Linked DNA regions of Styela clava. The protein of the gene in region 2 purifies or fractionates together with the protein of the main gene of each other region. This does not show direct contact. Links are inferred from orthologs where the notes say so. Each region holds a gene or a part of one and is shown on either strand. Other genes may lie near its edges. The genes, in order: cleavage and polyadenylation specificity factor subunit 3-like, symplekin-like and cleavage and polyadenylation specificity factor subunit 2-like.

Evidence for each region.
Region 1: the proteins of symplekin-like (region 2) and cleavage and polyadenylation specificity factor subunit 3-like purify together in Drosophila melanogaster (affinity purification with western blotting; 3 studies listed by BioGRID). This does not show direct contact. The link is inferred for Styela clava from reciprocal best matches to the Drosophila melanogaster genes Sym and Cpsf73.
Region 3: the proteins of symplekin-like (region 2) and cleavage and polyadenylation specificity factor subunit 2-like purify together in Drosophila melanogaster (affinity purification with western blotting; 3 studies listed by BioGRID). This does not show direct contact. The link is inferred for Styela clava from reciprocal best matches to the Drosophila melanogaster genes Sym and Cpsf100.

Annotation. Positions count from the first base shown.
Region 1 is NC_135251.1:10,436,189-10,444,654, reverse strand, and holds the start of cleavage and polyadenylation specificity factor subunit 3-like, read right to left. Parts: upstream 3,237-8,466; 5' UTR 3,151-3,236; coding exon 3,095-3,150; intron 2,909-3,094; coding exon 2,845-2,908; intron 1,332-2,844; coding exon 1,234-1,331; intron 642-1,233; coding exon 513-641; intron 1-512. Other genes in the region: octanoyl-[acyl-carrier-protein]:protein N-octanoyltransferase LIPT2, mitochondrial-like, read left to right, coding at 3,625-3,684, 4,081-4,183, 4,304-4,387, 5,134-5,260, 5,846-5,916, 6,354-6,670. UniProt on the Drosophila melanogaster protein: Component of the cleavage and polyadenylation specificity factor (CPSF) complex that plays a key role in pre-mRNA 3'-end formation, recognizing the AAUAAA signal sequence and interacting with poly(A) polymerase and other factors to bring about cleavage and poly(A) addition.
Region 2 is NC_135263.1:4,744,797-4,752,183, reverse strand, and holds the start of symplekin-like, read right to left. Parts: upstream 3,216-7,387; 5' UTR 3,160-3,215; coding exon 1-3,159. Other genes in the region: spartin-like, read left to right, coding at 5,295-6,899. UniProt on the Drosophila melanogaster protein: Component of a protein complex required for cotranscriptional processing of 3'-ends of polyadenylated and histone pre-mRNA. Involved in germline stem cell transit amplification, differentiation and mitosis-to-meiosis transition.
Region 3 is NC_135251.1:30,702,201-30,710,357, reverse strand, and holds the start of cleavage and polyadenylation specificity factor subunit 2-like, read right to left. Parts: upstream 3,142-8,157; 5' UTR 3,090-3,141; coding exon 3,018-3,089; intron 2,564-3,017; coding exon 2,487-2,563; intron 1,447-2,486; coding exon 1,287-1,446; intron 804-1,286; coding exon 698-803; intron 1-697. Other genes in the region: cytochrome b-c1 complex subunit Rieske, mitochondrial-like, read right to left, coding at 3,651-4,454. UniProt on the Drosophila melanogaster protein: Component of the cleavage and polyadenylation specificity factor (CPSF) complex that plays a key role in pre-mRNA 3'-end formation, recognizing the AAUAAA signal sequence and interacting with poly(A) polymerase and other factors to bring about cleavage and poly(A) addition.

The DNA.
Region 1 (8,466 bases), on a different chromosome or scaffold from region 2:
TGAAGGAAATACATGATCACATTAATCTTATAATGAGTTAGTTTTTAAATATGAGTTGTCCAAAAAAGAACAGGGTGTCCATAAGATCTCTTTACAATATCCATTTTGTTACGAAGTCAGTTCCCAATATATCTTAACCAGGTATGTTTGTTTTTAATCAGAAATTGTTTAGTTATTTTTACTTCATTGAATACATCTGTGAGGGCCGAAACAATATATGGTATCGATAAATTCCGCTTGCAATTTTAAAACATTTCAAAACTTTTGGACAACTTTCAACAAAGTTGAAAGTGAGTTGAATGACGGTTGCCTCCATGCCACAGAGATAGAAATGATCCAGCTTTCTCTCAATTTTTTTAAATTTCCAGTAATTACCAAAACCGAAAGAAACAACAAGAATTGGCAAATGTAGTATTCTCACATTCTTCCGATATAGTTTTACCAGAAAAATAGAATTAAGTTATCCAAAATATTATTGCCTTGAAGTATAAATATAAAAAGATCAAACCTACCTGACTTTGATATAATCAGAAAGCAACCATCTATAGATAGCTTTTGTAGCATGAGTCATGAACACTCGTCCTTTGAAAGGAGTTTTCTGTAGAAACCATGGTAGACCTCCACAATGGTCAAGATGAAAACTGGATAAAACGGAAAAAAAGGTTAAGATTCTGTCAATAATATTAGACTAGAATAGTGGTTTCTAACTGAGGGCCCCAGAGTAGTCATAGGAGGCCACAATACTATTATGACAAATTGATTTCAATCACATTTCGTTTGCATACTTTTCACTTCAAAAGAAAATACCTTGCTCTTCATAGTTTCATTACCTGAATACTTTTGTAATAGGTTGTACATTATTATTAAACACATTTGTCTTTTTACCCTTTGTTTGATAGATCTACATAATGAAACATAATAGTTTTTTGATATGGTGAACAAGGGGGGCCATGAGTGCTAAAGCCTCCCATACGGGGCCATGACCTAGGTAATATTACCCCAGGACACACAAAAAAAAAGAGACAAATTAAAACAATAAAAATATTGAATTTAATTCTTGGTATATCCCATATTGAAACGCCTTATCTCTTTTTCAAATTAAATGAAAGATGAAACCACTTGACTTTATATACTTGAAATTATTGCCGATTTAATAAACCACATACTAAGGTAAGACATTAAATTCTCTCTTAGGACTTAGGTTTAAATTCAACTCAGAATAAAATTACTTACTGTGTAACAAGCAATAAATCAACTTTATCAGGATCAGAGAAATCAAGATACGGAAGGCCTGCTAATCCACTAATCCCTGGATGAATTCCACAGTCCAGCTGCATAAAATGAAAAGTATTAGTAATGAAGATTAGAACAGACACTAGACAAGCTGTTACGGAATGGGCTACTATTATTGGAATGGGCCAAAATCTTTTCGGCCCAGTTCCATTGCATACTCAATTTATTACACTCATGAATAATAGGCGGTGAGCATGAAAATGGAACTAGATTGAATTATATTTTCTGATGTTTCCACACGTTTCTACCAAAAAATTGAACTAGATTGAACCAGATTGAACTAGACTACAGGGGTGGTGACTCCTCTATGATCCATGGGCCGGAGCCACGGCCCATCTAATTGGGCCACATGAGCTGTGGCCCATCAAGCTATGGGCCGTGGCCCCATCAGGAAAAATTCAATTATCTTACCAAAATTTTCAATTTTTTACAAAATTGTAAATATTCAAAACAAAAAAAAATCGTGGGATGCCACCAAATTTTTTTCTTACGATAAGCCTTTATATAAAAATAAAGCATAATACCAAACTACAGAAAAGGATACTCCTGTAGTATGTGTACCAGGCTAGGGTTAGGACAAAATTTTGTTCAGATTTTTCACATTATAGTTCTATTATGAGTTCGGAGACTGTCTGTGTTAGCCAAGTGAATAGTCCCTTTACATAACTCGATGGGTCGCGGCCCATAGCCTGATGAATTGGGAATAGCATTGAATTGGGCCTCGGCCCCGACCCATGGGCCGTAGAGGAGTCACCACTCCCACTCGAACTAGATTCTACTAAAGAATTGAACTAGATTGAATTCTATTTTCTGATGTTTCCACAAGTTTCTACCAAAACAGCTAAGGCTCCAAGCATGCAGACATTGATACACAAAGATGTCACTATTCTTGGAATCCCAGGAGTCCCTCCCAATCATCCTCCATTATGGGATTCTATACCTTAGAAAAGGTGGAGGAGAATGGGTATGGAAACCAAACAACATTGTTGATCTAAAGTTCTGCTCACTAAACCATCATGCAATACAGCACACTTTGAAGATGGAGCGACATTGTCTCGTTTCAGAGAATCCCATTTTGCGACGAACAGACACCCCTCCCTTTGGGGACGTTTGGACATTGTTGTCCCTCAATGTCGGTAAAAATGCAGTAAAAAGAAGTTGCGTGATAAACTAAAGAGAAGCGCAATCTAATAAACGTAATCATTGAATTCATCGGGAAAAAATAATCCGATTTTTACCATGGCATTCGAGAGTTTTTAGCAAAAAACGGCAACTTTGGTAACTTGATGGCCCTCGATTAATTTAGATTATTATCGAGACAAGCATGGCGCGATATGACGCATCTGCCGTCGTGCCAGACAACCCTCATTTGTGAGACATATGGAGTGTTCGTTTTATTGAACCAAATGACGAAACATTCTTGGAATTTGGGAACTAGGCCCTACTATCATGTCCATCGTATTATAAATTGTTGGCTGAAAAAAAAAAATGGAACGAAAACTTTAAATAGTGCTCAACAACCAAAAAATAAAATCCTTAATAAAAGTCTACCATAATCTTTTTTCCTTTATATTCCATCAAATGACATGATCTCCCAACTTCTTGACCAGACCCACTGAAATTATAAAAAAAAAACGCTAAATCTGTAAATTGAATCATGTTGAACAAAAAATTATCATTTACAATACAGCATATTGCTGAAGTGTAACATCTGAAGATTGCAAAACCAGTACAAAAATCTCAAATTGGTTCCATAGATGCATTGTCAGACATAGAAGAAATGGAGTCGTATATTACTCACAGCGGAGTGATTTTTAATAAATCAGTTTCTTCGGTCTTCTGTCCACTATTCGCCATTTTATCCGTTTATTTCCCTTCGAACGAGGAGACGAATAAGACACGGTTCCGAGAGAATCAGTTACCGTACCAGTACCGGTTCTTTGGGAAATGTGGAGCATGAACTGAGTAGTGACCGGAGATTTCAATTGAATGAAAGTTTTTCACAGAATTGAGAATTTATTTTGACGGGAAAAACGCGAGATATATAATTAATTTGTTCAATTGCAAATACAAATCAGTTTTATGCAATATCGATTCAAATCAAATTCATGCTTACGTACGATATTCATGATTGCCTTTGCGAAAAAATGAAACTTCTTTCTTTCAACTCCAACTTCCACATAAATATACGCATCAATGCATTCATACACCAACAAAATCACGTGACTTTTGGAGGTAACTGAGCTGCATTTGTCGCACACAGTTTCATGTATTCGTTAATTCAATCTTTTGAAACAAACCGGCGAGCTCGAAAAACGTAAATTATAGAAAATGGAAAAGATTCGACCACTCGCGCGTGCTTTTTATCTTGGAACTGTGAGATATAAAAAGGTTAGCATGCCTTTATTATAATCTTACTTACGGCAGTACGGTATCTTTGACATTCAAACATTCTATAGACATTTTAATTTTGTAGGTATCTCCAACGAAAATATTCAAACACAAATAAAAAAAATTAAATATTATACATTCTAGCAGTTTCATAGTTATATGAGACACGGATAATTTGCCCTAACGCAGTCATAGACACCACCCAGCCCTCAGATGTTAAATGTATCTGGTGGCAAAGCTGCAAAATGAGATCATGCATTTCTCCATTTATAATATTTTGATCAACCCCTTTTCATCGATTCATGGAGATTTTACCCTCAATTTTTGAGGAAGTGTGATATTTTGGTATTATGCAATTGAAATCAATGTACTGATGTAATGTCTCATTTATTGCAGGCTTTAAAACTTCAACACAATCTTGTCAATTGGAACAAAGTTCAACCAGAAGTTGCAAGTCCTACTTTACTATTATTACAACACAACCCTGTGTATACGATAGGTAGGTTTTGTTAACTTCAGAAATACTTATGTCTGAGTTCAACTTGAAAAAGAATAATTACACCTAATGTGGAAATGCACATGGATTATTCAACTGTTCAATGCTAACAATATTACACAGGTTACAGAGACAAGCAATACACAGATGAAGAGCAAAAATTACTGGAAAGTCTTGGAGCAGATTTTGTGAAAACTGACAGAGGAGGTAAATTTCAGATAAAAATTAATTGCTTCAGTTAAAAAAGACATTAAGTAGGGAAGGAGTACCAGTGGTCACTTCACCAACTACAATACTATCAAAGTTTTCAAAGATTAAATATTTTGTTACTGAATACACTAAATTATGCTATATTATGCATATTCGAATAGGTACTTCCGAAGTATGTGAATCAAGATGGCGGACACCGGAATGTAGTATGTGTACCCGATTTGGCTATGATTTCAGGTGCAAATACTACGGGAGTCACTTGGCTAGTCCCTGAACTCGTAATAGAACTAAAATAAGGAAAATTGGAATAAAATTATGGCCTAACCCTAACCTGGTAGTCTGGTACACATACTACGTTCCAATGTCTGCCACCCACGAATATAATATATTTAAAATGGCAAGATGATTTTAACTCATTTCTAATGATGCCCTCTGTTAACTATTTTTGATTAACTATCCAGAAATTACAACGGAACATTACCAGGCTCCAAATTTATGGCAGAGTAATATCTCACACAGGTTCTATCATTACTTTATATTTGATATACGGTAGTATATGTCTGTAAAAATTTATCAATTTCAATGCATCACGTCATCACTTTTTCATAGTAAAGTGAATTCAATAATCATTGGAAGATTCCGATATCCAAGGGTATCAAAAGATTATGCTTTACAATATCAAAGAGTTGCAAATGTTTATCCAAGCCCTTCGTACATAAATTGTGATTTACTTTCATTCCTAGGTCTGATAACATTTCATGGGCCAGGTCAGTTAGTTGTTTATCCTGTGTTCAGTCAACTTCAGATAGAAATCGGTGTAAGAAAGTATGTTTGGTTGCTGGAAGAAGTTATCATTAACCTTTGTAAAAAGTAAGGTCATTCATTATATTTCAATATGTTTTGTTATCTGGTTTTGAGTTTCCAAGTGGTAATTTGTGTATAATTGCATATTAGCCACCACACATTGAAATTATTATTTTTGGAACTGAGGTCGGCTAATCATAGCTTGTCATTTCATACACATATTGACTAGAAAGTTTCCAAAAAACCATTTAATCCAACTTTTACCAAAACATCTACCATAAATATTGAGTAACTATTTTTTGGATGATTGTGCAAGAAGATGCAATATTGTGGTATATTATGAATTGATAGTCATTATTTGTTAAGTTCATGGGGCATTTTGCAGAAAATTATCAATGCAAACTTGTTCATGTTTATAATAAGTATTATGGTTTATATGTCACTGTTTGGTACTCCCGGAGTATGTGTACCAGGTTATGGTTAGGCCATAATTTTATTGAACTTGAAGTAAAGTAGGTGAACAAAATTATCCATAACCGTACACATGCTTTTGGAGCGCCCAATGCTTTATAAAGCATAAAGTGGGTGCGCAAGTTCTCTATTTGAATTGAATTTTCCTCTTTCAATAGCAAATCTGAAATGTATTTCCAGGTACAATATAGAAGGAATTCGATCTCCTCACACAGGAGTTTGGGTTGGGAACGATAAAATATGTGCAATGGGTGAGTTCAAGGGTGAGATTTGATAAGTTGATGGGCAGTTTAATTTTAAGACTTTTATTTATCAAAGTTTATTTTATTTTTGTTGTCGAAAAAAATCTAAATTGGGGGAGGGGGGGGGGGGGCTATTCTTAGAAATGTGGAATCGTATAAATATCTTGGTATCCATATTAATAAAATGAATTGCGATATTCAAATATCAAGCATTATTGTTAAATTATCCAAGGGGGTAGGTAGGATAAGGTAACTTAGATAAGTTTTTTTCGACTCCGTCGACTCATCTTAGATAAGGTTTAATGCGTACAGAATATAAGATGGAAGGTATTGCCAAAAAGAAGTTGTATGTGTTCACTCACTTTGCTCGCAGATGTGTTTTATTTATTTCACTGTGAGCTTGCTTGAGATAAGTTATACTTATTAAATTACTTTATTTTCATCAGGTATTAATGCTCAGAAAAAAACATATTCACATGGACTGGCATTAAATTGCAACACAGATATGTTATGGTTTTCACGGATAGTTCCTTGTGGCATCTTAGACAAAGGCGTGACATCTCTAAGCTTGCAAACCGGTAGAGACGTCACAGTTGAAGAAGTCATGCCACTATTTCTTAAAGAAATGTCATCAGTATTCGAATGGGACATTCTACCTCTACAACACTGTGAATTGGACAATAATAATATTGATGACGAGACTTTATTTCAACTAGTAACGAATAAGAAAAAGAATGAAACATATATGGGTGTGAAATCGTGATACAAGCTCTGATATTGAAATTACTCTTTGTTTTTTTTGGTTCCTATATTATTATTACTTTGTTAATATTATGCATTTTGAATAAAAAATTTCAAACATCAAATCGCATACCTTCTTTTGTTCAAGTCGCATACTATTATAAAAAATAAGCCAAATGGGTGATTTCCCTACACCCGCTATTGGGGGTGGACACCCCTCTTAATTTTGAGGTGTGATACCACACTATAATTACTAATTTAAGTATAGTTTTATTTAAATATATAGAATATACTGAGCCAAATAAAACAAATTAGGAAGAAGATGGCGCACAACCTGAACATAGTGTTGTGTACCGGTTAGAATTCAGGTTGTGCGACATCTTGGTACGCATACTTCTGGAGCACCACAAATTATCATATAATTAAGGCTTGGCTGTGTCCTCTGTAGCGACACAAGAGCTTAGAAAATATTGGCCGATATCTAGAGATGGGGTATTCTGTGACTACACTCACTGTCAAAATAAATTCGAAGAAATTCATAATTTGATATCACAACCGATGTAATGAAGTTTAAATCTGCAATGTAACATTATTGCATTTTATGACATCATAATTAGGTCAATTATATGATCCTAGGCTACAGTGTAGATTTGTAACCTGATTTGTGATATTACAAATAGCTTTGTAAAAAAATTGAGAAAGTACAATAAATTTCACGACAGTTGTATTAAAAAACGAGCAACGATATGTACGTCCAATATAAGGTTGAGAAAAGTGGGAGATCGCTGGATGACGTCCAGGTAGGGCCTTTTTGTATTCGTACCGAGAAAAGCCTAATAATAAGCCCTGTTGGTGGAGGAATCTAAACTGAACATCGACTACCGTCCGGCTTTCTTCATAGAGTGATTTCCCGATGTCGCGGACTCGCGCAGGGTAATCGGTGGGGCGATGTCAAGCATGATCCAACGCATGGTGAGCAAACCACCGAGCCGCGTATGATAAATGCACGCACTCCCTCTTTGCACTTGTGGATCGGCAATGTAAGTTGCAGTCATTGCTGGATTCAATGTAAGCAAAGCCGCACAATTCATGTTCCTGGCAGAATTGTTGGCTTTAAACTAATTTGTATCGAACGAGAACTTACGCAATACAAAATCTTACTTTTACGTAGTTCAAGTGGATGGATAAGTATCGATAGCATTGCAGGTGGCACGAACCGGGCACAGATCTTAGGCTCATCGTGGCAAGCGTCTGCACCTCTGATTACCCTGTGTTGGCTCGCAGATTGGAATCCCGTAGCCGTGGCGGATAATTATGTGAGAGAGGATTGCTGGACTACTCGCCGTCGTAGTGTGGCTCACGTATACGTTGGTCGGTTACAACTAATGGACCACCAATCGATTACAATTGTCAGTGCTTAAATAGAACTGTAACGTAATCATCAGAAGGCTATTACTTCTATTGTTTCCCATGGGACCTGATATTTCAACTAAATTTTGCTGTTTCATTTTATTACATGAGAATACTGTTATGGAATATGGAACACTTTATTCCGTCAAGCTTGTCCGCCAATTTTCACTACAGACTCCGCTGCTCAGAGACAGCTATTATCTTACAATAGCAGTACGAATCGCCGCATTTCGTTTCCACATATTTGAACATTGCTCGCACGCTTATCGAATCTAACCACGGGCTTTATTTTCCATACTTTCTGTTCCACTGCACTTGTTGATTTGAAGTGTTTTTCGAGAGCATATGAAACAAAATAAATTCACCTGTCTCCACCGTGACACATTGATATTAATTTGCAGTGAGTAT
Region 2 (7,387 bases):
GAATCCATCCCATACTTTTTCTTGTTCCCAAACCTTTTTTAAAATTAATCTTTGAAGAACATTCATAACAAAACCTGATAAACGTGGATAAGTGATCAAGGACTGAATTACCGTTCTCATTAACAGAGTCGGAATTTCTGCTTGCTCCACCAAGTGGTTGATAACAGTAACCAAAACTTCCGATGTGTAAACTGCTTTTTCAGCAAAACATAAACTTGTAGCTTTTATTACACTTTTCACATCAGCAGTATTTGAATCCATATTATGAAGTGCGATCAGTAACTCCACAGGTGACAGAGAACTCACAGATGGTTCGGATTGTTGTCCTCTATTGACTCCAAGCAATCGATTAAATACTCCTTTCACCACCGGAGGATTCAATCGAACAAGCTTCGGAAGAGCTTTTAAAACTTCATTCTTTTCGAGACCGTTCAAGACTGGTATAAGGAAACGTACATCAGGGACGCGTTTTGCATACAAGTCTGTGACACGCTGCACCAGTTCTACAGTTGGGTGGGTCTTGTCTGTAAGTATATGCAACATTCTAGTAACAAGAGTCTCCGCACCTTTTGGACATCCTTCAACGAGGCGCAATAATTGTGGCGATTCCATTCCCATTTGGCTCACAGGTTTATCAAGGATTCGTAAGACAACTCGTTTCACATCTGCGCTTGTTTTTACATAAACTTCGGCAAGTGTTTCGATTAAATTATGATCCAACGGTAGCAAAGCGAGAAATAACGTCATGCATTGTTTCATTTGGGTTTCCGTCCATGTTGATTTAGCATCTACCGGTGTTCCCTCTGGGACTAGGGTCAAAGGTGGTGCGGAGTTTGATAAATATTCAAGATGAGTGACAGCATATGTTCGGATGAAATCCTGTAATTCAATTTGTAGGAAAATTGATTTTATACATTCAACAGCTTCGGTTTGGGTACTTTCATTTTTACTGACGCAAAGATCAAGTAATAAACGAAGAAACTGCATTTTTCTCGTTATTCTGTAATGCAATAAGTCCTTAACAAGTTTAATTCCCGATTGTGATCTTTTTTCATCTTCGCAATACAAACGGACTTGTTTTATCGCCCCATCAGTTAACAAAGGTGCCTGCATTACCAATTTATTGAAAAGACTGTCTCGTGTTTCTGGTTTTTCTCTGAATCCTTGTAAAAGTCCTGTCAGACAGGCATCGTAATTTTCTTGTGCAGATTTGTCATTCGAGCCACGACTGTTTTCTAAATATATATTGAATTCTTCATACAACCATGCAAATGCAAGGGAAGAACGATTCCTAATATCTTCTAAAATAAACATTGCTAAAGCTCTATGAAGATCTCCACCAAACTGTGCCACAAGACTGGTTAAAATTTTTGACCATTGGGCATGAACTCCAGCAGCGTTAGCAGCTTGTTCTGATCTCAAGACTCTCAAAACTGCATTTTTGATGATTTTATCTTTTGTGTCTAAATCGAGAGGGGTAGTGATACTTTCTAATCGAAAACCCTGGATTCTGCGAGGCAAACCACGGTTCGGTACGACTGTCTGAGATGATATCATTGCTTCGATATTTTTCTTCGATTTATCTTGAGCAGTGTCTTCTTGAACTGGTGTTGGTTTTGTTGTTCCTCCTATAACAGTTTGAATTTGTAATTTCTGTTTTCCTTCTTCTTCTAACTTCTTTTCTCTCTTTTTTGCGTCTTCTTCCGCCGCCATTTCAGCAGCTTTTTGCACTCCAGATCCGACACCCATGGCTGTCATTTGTATAGAAAGTAATCTCGCTAAATGACTGATCTGATCCTCTGTGCCCGCGGATTCAATAGGGGTGTATGAAGCTTGAAACGCGTCTGGCATTTTATCGGGCAACATAACCATGCTCAATAATACTAAATTAGCGACATTTTCTGGTGATAATAAAGGGACTAACTGTTTAGCTGTGATATCAATAGCAACACTGTGTTGATTGACCACAGGTTCTGATGGGACAGGGGCAGGTGCTGAGCTCGTAGAAGGTCCTATTTCAACATCATCATCATATTCGTTCACCTCTTTTTTCATTTTTTTATTTCCACTCCCCTCTCCTTTATCTTCATCCGGGCTACGTTTTCGCGAGCTACCGGCACTTTGGCGTTGTGACAATTTCGGCATATTTTTTGCTATCTCAGATGATGTCGTACCCAAGTCATAAAGTAGATTGGTAATTTGTGGATGATATTGTGTTGATGAAAAAAGCCGTAACATGTTCATTAGTTGCATTTTCAAATGTTTTCTCACGCTCGCGACTTGAGTTTTTGCCAGTGTTGGTGGTAAATTTGCATGTAATGCTTCAAATGCTTGTACTACCGTTCCCATAAATTGTGGTCTTTGCTTTGCGATGGCTGATAAGGTTCCCATGGCTGCCATAAGATTAACGCTCGATATAGCAGGATTAGCAATAAAACCCAACAATTTCTGAAGAGCTTTTTCTCCGTCTGCTTTTAGTTCATCCCGTTTTAGTAATGCGTGGTTTAATGGAATCTCATCAATAGAAGACGCAGGTTCTGTTTTCTTAGGTACCTCTGATCCTCGCTGTATCTCTGACAAAATCAAGATCACTTTTTCAACGAATTTGACAGTTTGGGTTCGGACTCCGTCATTGACAGAATCCAGTAATTCGTAAATATGATCTCGAATATTGCATGTCACTTTCCAACAAGCTTTATGACTGTCAGAGATGAAACTACCCTTTGTTAACCAATAGATCACAATTCTAAATAACTGTGTCATAGACTGAATGAGTTTTTTAGTGACATTCGCATTGGTATCAGCGAGTAATAAATTTAAATTCGCCATTACTTTCATGAGAAGTTCATTATCTTTTTTGCACGCCTCTTCCATGAATCCGACAACAAATTTTCTAACGTCATGCGACCTATCAGCTTGGAATGCTAGAACTTCATCAGTAAAACTATCCAGTAATGCTGGTTCTTTATTCACAATTAATTCCTGAACTTGTTTGAGTTTGTTAACTTTGTCAGGGTCCGTTGAGGCCATAGAAGCCTGATTTAACAGATCAATTACTCTTTCTGATGTTGACTGATGAGAAGATGCTGACTCATCATCTTGGTCTTTGGAATTTGATGACCTTTGCGATTTTGTACCAGTTTTTTTGGGTTTCCCCATATTGGTGATGGGAATAAATTAATATTAGGTCAAATATATGGATGTTAGGTAACGGATCTGAAATGTGAATGGTTTGATTAGTATCATTATACAGTACAGCACACCTTACAGATTGAGAGACATTGTCTCGTCCCAAAGAATCCCATAAACAAGGGAAAGGACGTCTGGACATTGTCACCTCTAATAATAGGTGAAAATATAGTAAAATGAAGCTGCACAAAAAACTACGAAGTAGCTAGAAAACGTCATCATTGAGTTCCTCAGGAAAATATAATCCGATTTACTAAAAGAAAATTTTTTTTTCACCATGACATTTTAGAGTTTTTAGCAAATAATGGGAATTTAGATCATGTGACGGCCAGGAATAATGTAGATTATTATCGAGACAAGCATGGCCCAATAAGATGCATCTGCCGTTGAGCACGATGCCCCTCGTTTCTGAGACACATAGAAGTGTTTATTTTATTGAACCAACGGGACATTCTTGGAATTTGGAAAGTGTGCCCTACTGTAATAACCATACATACATAACTACAAATTTCAACAAAACAATATGTCAAAAATATATGTTATATATTTCACTTCCGAAGTCTATGTAAACTATCAGCTGACTATTCGCATAACTAATCTTAAAAATAATAATTGAGCATGGTACTACTGTTTGGCGTTATTTAAGCAGTTACAGTGTTTATTCCGCAAAATCCGCCAAAAAAATATCACTCACTACTGCACTACGATGCCACAGTAATGTAATAAGGCCATCCGAGGTATACTACAGTACTAACTGTCATCCAAGACGCACAGACAATCAATCGAAATCGAGCAAGCTGTTTTACTCGGCGTAACGATCCCGATATGTGAGAGATCGCTAGCGTTAGTGAGTTCGTTATCGTTAAACAAAATAATATCATTTTTTTTACATTCAATAAATGTGCATGATAAGGGGGACTCAAATGTAATAATACACAAGTTTCATAATCAATTAAATTGTTTCTGCCAGTTATTTTCACGATAATCAGGAAACATAGCCTACCTGCATACGGTAATCATATACCTAGGCCTACGGTATTGTTTTACAAATGGACAATTCATGAACAAATGTGATACTAATTCTGTTTCTATAACACACAAGTCATTTCCAGCAATAAATCTAATTCTAGATACACTATCTGACTTTTGAGGGAAAAATATTCCACATTAATTCATAATTTCCGTAAAAATTTTTTTTTATAGTTCCTTGGTGTGGATTGATCAATTTTTGAAGAATAAATAAAATAATAAATACCTTTAAATAACGATAAATAAATAATAGGCAATTGAAATTCAGATATTTTTATAAACGCCTCAATTATGAAAAAAAAATGGCGCCGACCGAACTGAAACCGACTGCATTCTACGACCTACATAAACCTTTGCCACAATCACTCAAATATTTGAAATCAATGCAGATACGGTGGATAATAGAGCGCATGCATTACTTTTTTTAAATCAAAATTCCTTTATTAACAATAATTTCACACTTGGAAATAACATTTTTTGTTTTATTCGTACAAGATGTGTTTTAAAAATATATATTGATGTATTAATGATCATAAAATCTGGCAACACTCGAACGAAGAAAATAAATTGCTGACGTCTGACATCTCGCGGTTGTAACTAGGTCAACTGGTCTCCGTACATGATTTATGATCAAAACAAGCAACTAAAGTTTTCTAATTGTGTTAGATTCATATGAGTTTGATATAAAAAAAAAATGTGATATATTGGTCTAAAAATTTAAATGATTCAGATAAAAATTTTCAATTTTTCATTTCAAGTTCTTGATTGGTTTGGTCTGCTCTTTTCATTCTTGACTTTTCCTCGTTTATGTCCATTAATTTATTTATCGATATGCAGATTTTTTGTGGATGACATCTCGATGGTGTTTGCAGCCTAAACAAAGCTTTGAAAGCTGAATCATAGGCTCATAGCTGTGACGCTTGACGAATGGTGATGTCATTTTCAGAGATCACAAGATTCAAAGGGAAATCCCCTTTTTAAGACTCATTTTACATGCAGGTGAATTACCGGGAAATGATATAGCGGGCTTTAGGCCACGTATATCGGGCAGAAGTAGGCGCAATAAAACCCGATGAATGGGTAATTTGGCAGTAACTTGGTATATCGGGGTGACAGTATATTTTTCAAACTATAAAGCCATGGCACAGCAAGTAATTCGACCGTCAGCACCTCCAGCCTTTGACGAAATACTCAACGAAATCAGATCATGCCATGCTAAATCAGTGTCTCTAGCTTCGCAGGCTTTGGCACAAGATGATGCAAACAACAACGCAGACGCTATGGCACTCTATCTTCAGGCTTTGAGACATAGTGAGAATGGTTTGAGACACAATATCCACGATTTTGAACAATCCAGTGCAGGATGGGAACAAGCCAGGCAGATGCAAGAACAGATCATATCAACCATAGCTAATATAAGACAGAGAATTTATCATTTACAATCTTTTGATGAACCAGTTAATCACGATGTTCCACAGCCCGAAAGCCCGCCTTCATATTCTCTACACGACCCACTTTCATCTCAGTCTGGTCCCCAATTCCACGATAGTGACATTATGGCCGATCCACTTTTATCTATAGAGAGTGGCGCACAAATATATTTTGTCTCAGCAGAGAGCCAAGTAGAATCAATGCCTCCGTCTTACCCAGCATCCTTACAAATTGTATTATTGAAGGAAGATTCTGTAACACCAGGAGGACCTCAAGCTATACTTCAAGTCGGAGACTGGGTGTATCCACTCGCAAATAACCAGATGCCGGTTTTGAAATCTGCGAACGGTGCCTATATGTTCCCCAAGTGCACAGAAGATGGAATTCAAGAAGGGTACGCAATAGGGGTCGTAATTTCGAGCAATGTGTCGAGAGAGTATGTGGAAATGTTCGAGAATATTCTTCAAACTTATGCTGCTTTTCAAATTGAAAATCCAGACGAAGGATTTGTTGATTTATCAGAATTTATAGGAGCATTTTCAGAAGCGGATGATTACATTCCGCCAAGCATGAGTGACCGCATGGCAGCATCGGTAACAAATGGAGCGACCGCTTTGTCCCAACATGTCCGAAATGGGACAGACTATGCTACCAATTTAGTTGAAAGCAGTGCAAACAATATTAAAGCAAAGTTGACCCCAGCAGAAGGGAAAGTAACGGTCAATCCATATATCAAAAGAGGCCTTGAATATACATACAATGCAGCTGATACCACAGTCCGGGTAAAAAATTGGTTGATTCAGTGGTTATGTTCGGTCACAACTTCAGTTGGTCAACAAGTTGCCCCATATTTCACGAAGGCAATAGAAGATAGCCCAGAAAATACGAGCACTAATGTGTACGGTGCGATAAAAGTGGTGAAATCGGGGCTTGCAGGATTCGGTAAAATCTGGACAGAACTGGAAAAAGCCGGCTCAACTATTGCCCAAGCCGTTACCACAGCAACAGTTAAGAATATGGAATATAAATATGGACCAGATGCAGCGGAAGCCACAAATCTAGCCATGGGGGCCGCAGTGAATCTTGGAGCTACGGCATTTGCACTTGATAACTTGGGCACTAAGGTTATAGCTGATATAGCAGCGAGTTGCGATGAACAAAGAGTTGAATATAAATCTGCAAATGAAACGGTTTCTTTTCATAACAGTTTTAAAGATGATCAGCAACCAGACAGTTTCAGAAATATCTGATATGCTCAAGTGTTTGTTTCTGTTCAATCACATTTATCAGGGTAAATTGATGTCGGCCTAGCACATCACAATAATGTCCTCAATTCTCAATATTTTATCTATATTTCAAGTTTACCCAAAACATTCGATAAATTGATAAGCCGCAATGAAATCTTCAAAATGTAGAAGCTTACTCTACAATTATTCTGAATCAAAGAGCAAACCCAAACAGAGAATTGTGTATTCTAGGGTTTGGAATGTATTTACGGCCTTGCTCAAGAAGTTATTGCTACTAAGCCAATTTATAAACTACGCTCCGCTATATCAACCTTAGCAGTCGGTTTAACCACGATCTTGCCTTACCAGATGATTAATCAGTTCCGAAGAGGTTCCATTTTCGTCAGTTACAGTAAAGTATGAAATATAATGGCTATTATATCCTTTTTGCACTTATATATATATATATGGGTGTTACTGCAATTATTTTTTTTATAAAATCTTATCTGTAT
Region 3 (8,157 bases), on a different chromosome or scaffold from region 2:
ACCGTACATAGAAATAAAAGTTCTGCATGAACAGTTTCAAGTTTTGGTTTTTTTCATGTTCTCCATAATTATATTTGAGGTGTCTCCAACTGTCACTGAAGGCCCTCACTACTCGAAATTTTGTTCATTTGAAAATTCTACCATTATGTGGACACTATATCAATAATCAATTTTAAAACGGTGATTAATAAACACATATGTTACGTAATTGCACTGATTTACGAATTTGGTGTTCACGTCTCAATTCTAGTTTTGCCACTTGTTTATGGAAGCATACTTTTTGTATTGTAGACTGTAGTCTATGTATTTTAAGAAAATAATCAAAAAATGTATCATTTCAAAATTACCTAATGTGATTACATCATTTATTCAAATGACAGTGACAGAAAGTCCTACATACAACAAGCAACCAAGTAAACAAAAACAATTACCAGTAGTAGTCGGTCACGTTTTTAGTTTCAAAAAGTTTCTACTGTTTTACATCTATGGACTAACAACCATTCAGACAGAGACCAAATCATTGTGTGGAGGAAAAAAAGAACATTCTCATTTACTCAGGCAATTCGATATACGGTACATGTACATTGTGGGGTCATGAACCATTGTTTATCACCGATAAAGACAAATATATCTGGGAATGTTGTGGTATGAAAAGAATATCAAGGCCTTTTTACTGCAAAATTTATTTACACCTCACCTTTCAAAGTTAAAGTTTGGTTATGTTTGAGTTGAGTGATTCTATCAAATGCCATATCAACATCATCCAGTGTAAATTTATCAAATTCTTCGGTGTTGTGATGAGACTGGAAAAACCATTGTTAAATTTACAATAATAACAAATATCCAGCAAATCCCAATCATTATCAAATCTGATTCTCCAGTTGCAAACTTGCATGATAAAATTGAGGAGTGATAAATTATTTCACCCTATCAATGAGGCTATCACAAATAACATAAGTGAAATATATACCAAACAATGGCCTTATTTCTCTCCATTTGGTTCTGAAGAAAACTCAATAATGTTGTACCTAGTATAGTGATGCAGAGCATCAGGAATAATGCTAACAATGGCATTGTTGACTCCCATGAAAATGGCATTTTTGTGGGATAATCTATGAATTCTTAAACGATGTGCAGTTGTGCACCGATTACCTGAACAGGATAAATATAACTTTAGCTATATTTGTTCCCCGACTGACTTCAGCCATTAAATTAAATTTACAACTCTTACAAAGCAATGATGAAGGAATGAGGCAGAAAAATGCAAATCCTCTGTTGCAGAATACCTGATATAAGTCATACATGAACATTTGCCCCATTTTATAGATGGGAACAGTTGCATATATCGGACAAGTCAATCCAACTTTTCCAACAAGATAAGGCAAACAGCCGAGATGTTGAGGATCAGGAAATGAAAGTAAGATAGCATCAATTTGGCTCAAATACCTACAAATAATGAAATGATTATTAATATTGAATACCTCAGCATCCCAAAAAAAGGGTGACAATGTGTTGCCAATGAATTATTGTGCCATCAGCGGTTAAAGATATTGTGTTAATCCCATTACCACCATATGCCCCAAACTTTCATAAATCGATTCACACAGCAGTGGTGCCAATAGAAAAAGGGCTAATATGAGATTCAAATCGAAACCTTTCTAATAAATTCTGTCTGGAGAAGAGATGATCATGGTAATAAAGTTAGCATTGGATCTAGCTGAACCCTAGATATGGATGTACTTGTTATCAGTTGCTAGCCCTGCTAGCTCCCAAAACAGTCGCACAATAGTCGTATATGTGGCTATTCCACAAAAGACAACACTCGTTTTCTTCCACTAAAATGAATGTTTCTCATCCTTGCTATTTTCAAAACAATGAAAAATCAACAAGCTTTCTGTGCTTCAATCATTGAAATCTCATCTTGTGCTTGGCCCAGATTCTTAAATTGGGCCCTCGGTCACCCAAGAGGGCCACAGAGAGGTCATGTGGGGGCAATGAGCAAAGGCCTTTACTAAGTATCATTTGTCATGACTACATTAATTTGAAGTAAATGACTGTGATTTTGTTAATTCTTTGACTACAATGCACTTATTATCCTGGTTGTTGTTTTCATCATTGAACATAGTGAAAAATATTTGTGATGAAAAAACACAGTAAAAGCAAACCTATGTATTCTTATAAAGTGCTGAGAGTGAGAGTTATTGGTGAAGGCCTGAAGGGTCATGAAGTTTGAGAACTACAGGCTTCCTAGTATTGGGAAACATTGCTTTTATTGAAGGGTACTTTTTAATAGCTGTTCGAATAAGACAAATGGTATATTCGCAGGGTAAAAGTAGTCAGCATGACAAACCTCCTCAAAGGGTCAACAAAAATGCTAATGCAATGCATTAAGCGAATAGAGTAGATTCATTTGAATAACTATTTCCCATGATAGCGCACAGTGCTGTAAAACTTCCATACAATTTGGAGGAAAAATGCAAAGCTACCTTTTTATCTTTTTTATAATGCCATCAGAAAACCACTCGTCCCAACCACAGTCCAGCAAAAACGTAAATTCATCAACCTGTTGATATGGAGATAACATGCTTCAGAAACATTTATTACAGATTTGTATTTTTACAAGACTGCTTTCGAGAGAAAAAGTCATTGCTTCTTCTAGAATCCAGTGGTTCCTAAACTTTTTAAGTTAAATGTGTGGAGTCTCATGTCCCATCTCAAAAATAACTAGCTAATAATAATAGGCTACAAATAACAGATCGTAGGCAAAAGTATGTTTTATTCAAAAAACACGTTGAAATTATGTGGATAGAATGTAAATATCCTTCACCTAGCTTCAAGCCCCAAAAAATTATCCCACCGTTTGAGAAGCCCGTTCTAGACGCATTCTCTGTGAAGGCAAAATAATCTAATTACGTTTCAGTGGTCACATCGTTGAACATGAACTTTCAATCTAATTATAAAAAAACTGCTCCTAAAAGACACAGAGAACAAATGAAAAGACAATAACAACAAATCACCTGCAGAAGATAGCAGTTTGGTTCTTCATTTTGAGCACCAGAAAGTGCTGTGAACTTGATTATAGATGTCATATTTTAACAGATTTCATAAATACCATGCCGGTTGAAAAAGTTTAATTCATCTACGTTCAAAAAACAAACAATATATTAATTAAGCACTAATGAAAAGTCAAGAGTTTCTAATATTCAAGTCCAATTTTAAACAAGACATTTGTTAATAACATCATTGAGTGGAACATATATAATCCATACATACATCATATGCAAAATAATTTAACCTCATATTTAGTCAACAGATTGCTCCAATATTAATCTCATTATTCCAGACAGTAATTTCCGATTAAATGTTGTTTTAAAACAATATTATTCAGGAGTGAATATAGAAATTATAAATATTCAAAATTGAAACTAATTTGAAATATGAAAAGAATCAACAACCAATATTCCATGAAACAGCTTTATTTAAATTAGAGGTGTTTCTAATACTTGGAAACATAAAGTTACAACTTACAACAGTCCAAAAATATAACAAAATTCAAAATCCTGGTTTATTTTGACAATATTTCCCTATATTTTTATACTAAATGACTTCGCAATAACATGTGATGTATAAAAATGGTCAGGCATAAGTCATTAACCAACTTTTATAATATCATCGGAAATGAAGGAATATTCTGGAACTTCAAGATTCAATGGTGCTGGCCCTTTTCGAATTCTACCAGACGCATCATAATGAGAACCATGGCATGGACAATAGTAACCACCAAAGTCACCAGCATTGGCAATTGGGACACATCCTAAATGGGTACAAACTCCTATAACAACTAAAAAGTTTTCCTTCTGAGTACGCTCAGCATCGTGCTGTGGATCTCTCAACTCTGCAACATTAACTCCTTTTTCTCTCTCAATTTCATCAGGAGACCGATGGCGAACAAAAAGAGGTTTTCCTCGCCACTTGAAAGTAATGCTTTTTCCTTCAGGAACTTCGGACAATGGGATTTCTATTGATGCAAGAGCAAGAACATCTGCTGAAGCACTCATTGTTTTAAGGAACATAGTTACCGCAGATTTGGCCAAATAAACTCCTCCCATGCACACTCCAGCTGAAATGGCATAATGATATGTCTTGGTTCTGAGCTTCCGTTCATCTTCTGTCTTTCTAAAATCGCTTACATCATCTTTAAGTTTCTGTCGATAGGCACTGAAATCAGGAACTGCAGCATCAGTGTGCGCATATCTTACTGAAGGAGCCCCGAAAATAGAAACAGTTGCCATTGGTACAGCAGAAGGTAGTTTAGTAACTGCTTTCTGGGCAACATCAGGTAGTTGAGCTTTCAATGCTACTGCAGCTGGTAAAGGTCGCATTTGCTTGGTAATAATTTGAATTGTGTGAGATATTCCAGGCATAAAGTTGCCTTTTATCAACAGGGGAAGCATTTTTATATCTTAGAATAAATAAATATATACACAAAACTAAATTTTCAAAGAAATATGTAATATTGAATTGGGGAAATTCACATTCTAACATTGTTTTATTCTATAAGTAACGGTATTCTAGTATTCAGGATCAGCCACTTTTGCCTGACTAAAAACACCTAGATCTGTAGATTGATCTAGAAACATCCAGATTAAAAAATAAAACATCTATTTATGAAGTCATTTAATTTAATGAAAAGTAACCATAAAACAGTAATATTAGATGTCGAAGAAGCTAACATCATAATCTAGAATTCAATTCCCATCTGCAGAACTTACAAAAGACCTTGTTCTTATCATCTGGGGCAAACCATCCCTTACCGTACAGCTGTACAGCCTTAAGTCAAAATTTTCTAAATTTTTGCTGGTAGTGTATAAACTTTGGCATTTTGAAAGATTGATGTTTAAAGAGAGACACATTCAATAGCACTTATAAACTTAATAATTTTAAAACCCCTTGGCAACAATATCATCCGGAAAACGTCTCTTTTCTATTTAACGTTAATTAAAACGTCACATGTTTTAATCATGTTTAATTCGTTATTCAAATATTTTAAGTACATATGGCTGTATGGTACCATACCGGGGGACGAATACAATATGAATGACTTTTATCAATCTTACATCAATACCGGTACCTCTAAATAATGAAATACGGTAATATTCATTCACCTATTAGATAGATAGATAGTTTATTTCGAAAACTCCATAACAAACCTAAATTTAAAATGGAGAATTCTGGAGGGCAAGCAAAACCTACAAAAACGTTTAAAACATGAAGTATCTCATGTGCCTGCCCACCAGCACGCACACAAAAACACAAGCCCAATTAAATGAGGCTTGGGCTACAGTATTATACACATCTCTTTATTTATTTCTCATTGAATAATATTCAAAACTTCGAAAAAAAATCTAGATTTTATAGCTAACATCTAGGCTCCAAATTTTACATCTAGATCTTGAAAAAAACATCTAGATCTAGATCATGTTAGCCGTTGATCTAGATATAAAACATCTAGAGTGGCAGCCCTGGACTCGGTACCCCTGTGCAGTTGTATCGGTTCATGAAAGGTCATGAAGGTAAAGGTCATGAAAGTTGGTAAAACATAATCAGGGGGGGGGGGATCTAATGATATCGATATATATATAGTCATATTATACAATTGTCGTAATAATATGATATAAAACCGAACAAAATTATTATTGCTCATGGAACAATGAAACCTGTATCACCAGAGTAATCAATTCATTATTACTCAATTAATACACGACAACGAAAGAAAACTGCTGGTATAACTGGGCATATGCCCTATATCATATTTCGTGAACTTGCCTATCCCGGTACCACTTTCACGAACGTTCCGGACAAAAGCAAACTCACGTCCGTTCTCACGAGTTTTATGCACTGAAAAAAAAAATCCATGAGTGAGAAAAATGACCCAGCGGATGCATTGTTACGTCACTTTTTGCATCTCGTTGATTGGCCGATGTCACGAAGTAAACAAGGAAGTCGATGCTTGGGGAAACATCCATATAATACTGTATACTGTTGAAAATTGGCACATTAACTTACAGACGCACTCTTCATTGGCTATTTAATACGAAAATAAAACAGGCACAATGGAGAAAGAAAATCATAAGGAGGTCAACTATCGTATCCATGAATATCCTGATTCCGGTGTCAGAAATATTATAATTTCACCCTAAAATTTGGACACTTAATTTACAAACGGTGGCGAGAAAGATCAAAGCCGGCGCAAAATATGAAAATCGGAATAAAATCCCGAATTCACCAACAATAGAATGTCTAGCGTTCTGGATGCCTGTGGTATACAAATTAATAATTCCCGATATTTGACGATTCGTTAAAATTATTTGATTCGATAAAAATATTCTATCCGACAAATTTTGGCAACGGGAGGAAGATATTAAATTTGAAAAAAATTAGGTTGTGCAAAAGTGTGAATACCTGATGATGATATTTTTTTAGGACGGAAACGACATGTGTTTAAATACAGATGAAATTATCGCCTAACCAGGTATCCGCCATCCGTCTGAACCCTGCCTTTTCAGGTGATTTGTAGAATCAAGCTCAGTATGGCTGAAATTCACTATTAATATTATATACCTGTTACTAAATGCGGGGTATGTTGTCTTCATATGAATAAAATTCCCCTTATCTGATCTTCTTTTCTTTAAATTAGTTTATAGCAGAAAGGCTTTATGAGTAGAAAATGTTCATGTTTTGTGATAGGTGTGCCGCGAATATTTAAAGAGCTCAATAGTGTGCCGCGATACGAAAAAAGGCTGGGAACCACTGCACTGATGAGATACAGATAGATTGTATTTCGTTGACTGTTTCGAAAGACGGCTTCAGTTTCTTTCAGGTAACGTGATGAGTAACTCGCCATGGCCGCTAAAAGCCAGTTGTTGGAAGTCGTCCTGTCTCGAACTACTGTGGTAGTTGTTTTTTGGGCAACGTAAAATAGGCCTGGACTAATGTTTACTATTATACAAACAATGGGACAAGCACCCTGCTGTCCTGGCATGAAATCCGGCTCCCCCCAAGTTTCAATAGATAATTAAAATAGGCAGTGTCTTTAATAGCACTAGGGCCTATTTTTGGGGGATATCTTTTATTTTCATTTATCAAAAACAAAATTACAAAGTAGAGAATTACGAGATTTACATATATGGACAATATACAAAATATGAAAACCGGTATCCATTTACCTATAAATACTGTAACCCGTTTTTATTTGAAAGAACTACTAAACATACCGTGTTTCCCTGAAAATAATACAATGTCTTATTTCAATTTTCTCTCAAAAAATAACTCTAGGGCTTATTTTGGGGGGATGTCTTTTATTTTCAATTAGAGAATTTTTAGATTTCCAAATATACAAAATATGAAAACCGATATTCATTTACTTATAAATAACACGTTTTTATTTAATTAAAATACCCACTAAAACATAGATTTTCAATCCTTTAAAACGAGTAGGTAAAATTTCTTGCTATGATATCTACTGTATAAAGCCTTTAGGTATTTTAAAATTGCTTTTCCCGTGTTTGGTTTTGTAATGTTGCTTAAAATAACAGTCTTTCGTGACAGATATTATTTGAAAACACACCAGACACTGTGGTTTAATGTTGTTGTGAGTAAGTAAATACATTGCTGCCACATGGCCAACGCTTGAAAATAATGGAGTGTTTTAAACTAAAAAAAGAAACAAAACGGGTCTCCGAATGAGGAGTTACTTGACGCGAGCGTAAGGCACGAAGTTTCGATAAAAAGCGCGACTCATCTCATCGGCTTGGTTCTGTCTGCACAACACAATTCATTTTCCTTCTACCTATCACAGGACGTCATTCTCATATTGGCACCGTCTTGACGTCTATAGATACAACTTTGAAATTCCGAAATTAAAAATTATTAGAAAATGTTCTGCCAATAAATGCAAATATCTACCAATGGTTTATTGCACGCTGACACTGTTCTGTGGGCTGCAAGGAATGTGTCTGGTTTGGACCACCTTGATTTAAAACGTGTAGTAGAGATTCCTTGCTATCGACTAGGTCAAAAAAGTAAATTCGCTCTATCGACTAGGACAAGGTATTATTTTAAGGACTGGCTTATATTATTTTGAAATTCAAGCTAGGT